2 linked regions of the Tribolium castaneum genome follow. The protein of the gene in region 1 purifies or fractionates together with the protein of each later gene. This does not show direct contact. Links are inferred from orthologs where the notes say so. Each region holds a gene or a part of one and is shown in the gene's direction. Other genes may lie near its edges.

What was found.
Region 2: the proteins of Prx5 (region 1) and protein dj-1beta fractionate together in Homo sapiens (co-fractionation; 3 studies listed by BioGRID). This does not show direct contact. The link is inferred for Tribolium castaneum from reciprocal best matches to the Homo sapiens genes PRDX5 and PARK7.

The regions. Positions count from the first base shown.
Region 1 is NC_087402.1:1,937,730-1,940,756, reverse strand, and holds Prx5 (peroxiredoxin-5, mitochondrial), read left to right. Parts: upstream 1-1,450; 5' UTR 1,451-1,512; coding exon 1,513-1,620; intron 1,621-1,692; coding exon 1,693-1,827; intron 1,828-1,877; coding exon 1,878-2,201; 3' UTR 2,202-2,411; downstream 2,412-3,027. Other genes in the region: RNA-binding protein Rsf1, read left to right, coding at 1-472. UniProt on the Homo sapiens protein: Thiol-specific peroxidase that catalyzes the reduction of hydrogen peroxide and organic hydroperoxides to water and alcohols, respectively.
Region 2 is NC_087401.1:11,635,721-11,638,822, forward strand, and holds protein dj-1beta, read left to right. Parts: upstream 1-1,347; 5' UTR 1,348-1,370; coding exon 1,371-1,538; intron 1,539-1,589; coding exon 1,590-1,815; intron 1,816-2,166; coding exon 2,167-2,414; 3' UTR 2,415-2,456; downstream 2,457-3,102. Other genes in the region: uncharacterized protein pasi2, read right to left, coding at 537-631, 680-809, 865-1,062; thioredoxin-related transmembrane protein 2 homolog, read right to left, coding at 2,457-2,935, 2,984-3,102. UniProt on the Homo sapiens protein: Multifunctional protein with controversial molecular function which plays an important role in cell protection against oxidative stress and cell death acting as oxidative stress sensor and redox-sensitive chaperone and protease.

The DNA.
Region 1 (3,027 bases):
CGAAAAGTACGGAAAACTGAACTCAGTGTGGGTGGCTTTCAATCCCCCGGGCTTCGCTTTTATCGAGTTTATCAATCACAGCGACGCCGAATCGGCCTGTGATAGCCTCAACGGCACCGATTTCTTGGGCTCGAAGCTGCGCGTGGAAATCGCGAGGGGCAAGTCCCGCCGCGGGGGCTTTAGGGGCGGCCGGGGCCGAGGCGGGCCCCCGTACCGCGGGGGCGGCTACGGTGGCGACCGCGGCTTCAGAGGCGGCCGCGGGGGGCGGCCTGGAGGCCGCTTTGATTCCTACGGGGGAGGAAGGCGCGATGATGGAGGGCGCTCCTACGGAAGGGATTTTAGCAGGAGGAGAGATGGCTACGGGAGCAGGAGTGATAGCTACAATGGGCGAGGGGGCGGAGGCAGGAGGTTCGATAGTAGTAGCTCCCGGTTCAGGTCAAGGTCGCCGGCGGCAGCCCCACCAAGACACTAGTTACGATTAAGGCATAGTTTGTATTCTTATTTTTTATATTTTCGTTCAGTACAATAATGCGGAAAGCTGATGATGTATGACTAGTTTAAGTGAGTATATGGATCTGAACTTTACGATGATGATGACGTATTTATTGTTGCAAGGGGCAACTTAGATGATTATTTTATTACTTCGTAAGAGTGAAATAAAATCTAGTACCTTAACAAATATCACGTGTTAACACACGGTTTTTAATGGCTTTCCGGTCATACACAGTGTGTCTCACTGTTTTTCATTACTTAATTTCTTTTCATTGTTGTTTGTGGGATGAATCACCCTTTACTGTAATGGCATAATCAGTTGCAAATATCGAATCGATATTTTTACTAAATAATCGCCACTCTTTATTTGTACAAAAGGCTCAATACTAATAATAAAAGTGTTAGATCTTATTGATCATTTTTTAATTGCTGCCCTTCAAACTATCCTTCCGAGTACCTATGTAGCTTCCATGATTTTTTTTAATAAGGACATTCCACTATTCCTGGAATAACTGCATCCCGAGAAATTCATAAATAAATTATTCAACAGAACATAAGCGAAATATCTGACAAACTAAATTCATTTGAACTAAAAAATTGCATTATTTGGCGGAATGTGGTCATAAAAGCGCATTTTTTCTATAAAATTTTGCGAAACCCAATTATTTCGCTACTTTTGCGTTTCAGTGACATTTTTTCCATCGGGAATACAATTATTTTACAAAAGTTCGCAGAAACTAGGTTCAAATGCCGTCTTTACTAAATACTACCACCGATTATTTACTACAGTTACAGATGTGACTCACGAGGATAATTCTGAACACGAATTTAGATTAAATGTAACTAAAAAATGTATTTCCTTGCAAATGCTTTCCGGATGAATTACGCTAAATCAATTAATTGCCTTGAGAATTAAAAATTGAATAGTACTGGTGGGTGCATGGTTGCACTGCGCAGTCGTTTTAAGACACCAAGGTCATCTCTTATTCACTTTTCTAAATAATTAAAAGCCGGTATAAAATGAATGTTGGTCAACTGACGTCGAGCAGAATCATTTGCAACTCATTGTTAACTCAGTTTGTTAAAAGAACACTGAAAACAACAACAGCACTCAACATGCCTGCAAAGGTAATATAGCTCTTTATTATGTAACATAATCACATGTGAAAATGGTTATGTTTATATTATTGTTTATAACAGGTCGGAGATTCCCTTCCAAACGTCGACCTCTTTGAAGACCTCCCGACCAACAAAGTCAACTTAGCCCAACTGGCAGCCGGTAAAAAAATAATCATTTTTGCAGTCCCTGGTGCTTTTACACCCGGTTGTTCGAAAGTACTAACTGTCCTTGAATTGCGCACTATTATTACATGCGATCATTCCAGACTCACCTACCTGGTTACGTACAGAAAGCTGAGGAATTAAAGGGTCAAGGGATCAGTGAGATATTTTGTGTTTCTGTAAATGACCCATTTGTTATGGCAGCATGGGCTAAAGACCAAAAAACAACCGGAAAAGTCCGACTTTTGGCCGATCCTTCAGCCGCTTTTACCAAAGCTTTAGATTTGACTGTTGATATTGCCCCACTTGGGGGCACTAGGAGCAAGAGGTACTCCATGGTTGTTGACAATGGCAAAATTACCTCGCTTCAGGTTGAACCTGACGGCACTGGCTTGACCTGCTCCCTAGCCAATGCAATCAAATTGTAAAGCAACATGTCTTTGAAGTGCTGTTGTAATGTTGCATTATTTTATTTTATCGAGGATAGGAATTTATGGTTGATATTTTTATTATTAACTAAGTTTTTTAGTTTCTGATTAAAACTATTTTCAAGGCTCGTTGCAAGACCAAATAGCATTCATTGATTATTATAGGTTTAATTATAGTACTAGTGATAATTAATAAACCGTTACAAAGAATTATCGTATTGTAATTAACACTTTTTCCATATCCATTTTCCTAAAAAATTGTTTTTTCTTAAATCAAATGTCGGCAGGAACTAAGGAAATGATTAAATATTCTTGGAATCATTTGCTTAAATATCGACTGAGTAATTGTGCTTTTCTAACAGTTAAAGTTTTTAATTATGCAAATCGTATCGATTGGTTCTGCTGTTTTTACACCTGACTTGCCTCACATTGCCATGAATATGAATAAGTCTTATTAAAGAATAAATAATTTAAAAAAGATTGTTGTGTTATGAACAGATATGTAAAATTCAATATAACGAGAATTAAGTAAATAATGCTAAAATATTTAACCATATCAAATGTTGACTCTTGGTATTTGTATTACAATTGTTACGATTTACACAATAAATTATTTAAAATACGTACATAATACTTTGGTCAGCGCTTTTGCATTTTATATCACAGTGTAGTTATATAAAAAACACATGTTTTCATAATGCATAGACGTAGTAACAAGACAAAATTTAAAAAGTTTGGAAATTAACGTTTTGTCTAAAAATATTTGAGGGAAAAAACAACTTAGGCAATCAACTCTCCACGTTTCTCGTTTCCTCGAACGTTTAAA
Region 2 (3,102 bases), on another chromosome or scaffold:
GTTATAAAAAAGATAAAAAATCACTGCAAAGTCGTCTATGAATATTTTTCGGAAAATTTGCAATAAAAAAATCAGAATACCTTGCAGTTTTAACAAATAGACGCAAATTCAAATTCCAGAACCACCTGAGATCCTACAATATTTATAAACAGTCCGTATAATCTATAATAGTACATGTCGTTGTACAAACTTAGTTATAAGAGTGCGCAAAAGTGGATATTATAATACAATTAAAAAACCACTTACTTAAAAGTAACATGGAAAATATTGCTTTAATTAAATCAGGCGCCCAGCTTTCGCCGGGCAATCAAGAAATTTTCATAGACTCATTTGAATTGTTCCCCTCCACGGAAATCTTTAGTAAAAGGCGAAAGATTTATTCGCACTGAAGGGAAACCAGAGTGATGTTTGAAAATCAGCCTTTCGTTTATATCCTGGCCCGTACGTATGATATTCGTGACTCGTTACATTTAGCGCCACCTATCCACCACCACAACAAGTACCAACAACAACAAATCAAAGTTTTGTAGTTTTACCTTCCGGAGAGCAATTATAAGCATAATGCTGGTCACAAACACACCAATTGCCAGAAGAATGGAAAAAGCAGCAAACATTACAAGAGTATTGCGGACTAAAACAACAAATTGAGGACAAATGGGCGATTAAATGGTGGGCTTACCGTGACGGTTTCCCACGTAAATAAACTGGTAGGAAATAACGTAATAGCCGGTGTGGACGGACCCTGGGACTGCCATTGAGTAGCAGTAGAGATCGAAGCAACTTGTGATAACTGTGAAGATGGACAACAGCTAAAACATGAAATTTATGAAAATGTGATATTTAAACAAAGGGGGCGTAACATACCAAAGAAAACACTCCGATTAATAGGGAGGATCTCTGGACGTCCAAAATATAAGATTCGGTTATGATTGGTTTTCTGTACCAAGGGATTTTCAACGATTTTATACTTCGGCTACTTCGCAAATTCGCACTGCTGCGTGTTGTGACGTGTGAGTACACCGAGGGGGTGCCAGTCGTTGGCGATTTCTTGCCGTAATTCATGTTTTTATGTATTTTTTAACAATTAAATCAATAAATAAAGGTATGACACATTTGGGTAGGTAAACAAATAGGTGTGGCAAACGTCAAATTCCGCCGCCAACCTTGCAACACCAACTAACTAGGTGTGTTAATTACAAGGATGTAATTACCGTAATTAAACAAAATCAGTCATTATGACATTAATTTAGGGAGTACGGACACAAGGGGAATTACGTGTATTTATTTCCAATTTTATTTTTTGCAAAATATGCAATTTTGTTGAACAACCTAACGCGAACAAAATCCCCAAACTGGCATGACCTACTCCAATGTCAGTCATATGTCAAAGTTTTAGGGCTCCGCTCACTCGCTTTAATAGGTTAGGATTAGCGGTGCGTTTTATTTCGAATATGAGCACAAAAGCCCTTGTTTTCCTCGCCGGAGGCGCTGAAGAAATGGAGGCTGTAATCGCAATTGACGTACTTCGCAGAGGCGGTGTAAATTAACCCCTACTAAAAAAAAACACAAATTTTTCCTGTTATTTTTAGGTGGAAGTAACAGTTGCAGGCCTACCGGACGCCAACATCATCAAGTGCAGCCGCGGTGTCAACATTAAACCTGACATTTCAATCTGTGAGGCCAAAGGCCCCTTTGACGCAATTGTCTTACCTGGGGGGCTAGGAGGGGCGAAGGCTTTGGCCGCGTCTAAAGAAGTAGGGGAGTTGATTCGGGAGCAGGAGGCGGCGGGGCGACTCACGGGGGCGATTTGTGCCGGTTTGTAATAATTTACTGTGAAATTTCCTTAATTATACAGGGTGACCCAAGGGTGTGTAATCTATTTGATAAAACTACAAGGTATTCAGAATTTTTCTATTGCAAATTTGGCGGAAAATATTCATAGGCGACTTCGTTATGATTTTTCAAAAATTGGTCTTTTTTATAACCAGAAGTTGAATAATTCCGTTATACAACACCCTGTGTATAATAAAAATATTTTTAGTTTGTGGATTTTAAGTCGATCTATCGGATAATGAAAACAGCATAGCAATATTTCAAATAGCAAAGTTACACAGCCCTGTGTCACCTGTATAATTGGTTGCCTATGTTAAAATTATGGGGTTGTAGCGCCCACGGCCTTGAAGGCCCATGGGGTTTATGTGGGCAAGACTGTGACGTCGTACCCAGCCATGGAGGCGCAAATGCTCGAAGGTGGTCAATATAAATACAAAAAGGAGCCAGTTGTGGTTGATGGGACTCTGGTTACAAGTCAAGGGCCTGGCACTGCCTTCGTCTTCGCCCTAACCCTAGTGGACAAACTTGTCGGAAAGGACAAGGCGGCAGAAGTGGCCAAAGCCATGCTTTTGTCGTATTAACAATTTATTACTATGGCACTAGAAACAAATAAATAACAATAATTAGTCGTTCTTCACGTGTTTGTTCTTATTATTCTTAAGCGCGCTCTTGCACTCTTCGTACAAGTTATTGAGATCGAAAGCCCCTTTAACGTTCTCACTCGAGAAAAAGAATTTCAAAATGTTGCCTTTTGAGTCAATAGCCGGCCTCCGCACCACTTCTTTCCCTTCTTTAAACAGAATTGTCGTGGGTAACTGCTTACTTAAACTGCTGTCATTCACGCGATATTTCTGTGCGGCATCGGGGTATCGCCCCACGTCGATTTTCCCAAACTTGAAATTCTCCAAGTGATATTCGGTGCTCAGTTTTGCGAAAACCGGGGCGAAGTTCACACAAGCCGGGTTCCAGACGGTGTAAAACGTGACCAACCAATAGCCGTCCCGACTACGTGCCAATTCCTCGTCCAAGCCTTGCATGCCCCGGAAATAAATGACATTGTCAGGGCCGGAATACGTGGGCTCGGGAAATAGCAACGCCCCCACTGAAATCACCCAATTAAATGCGACAATTATGACACAAAATGACTCACAGATGAATATGATCCCGTAGATAATGCCCATCAGAAAATCGGCGTTGAACCATAGTATCAAATTCGCTATTTTTGTGTACACGAAACTAGACGATAAGTAATTGATCATTGATACACTG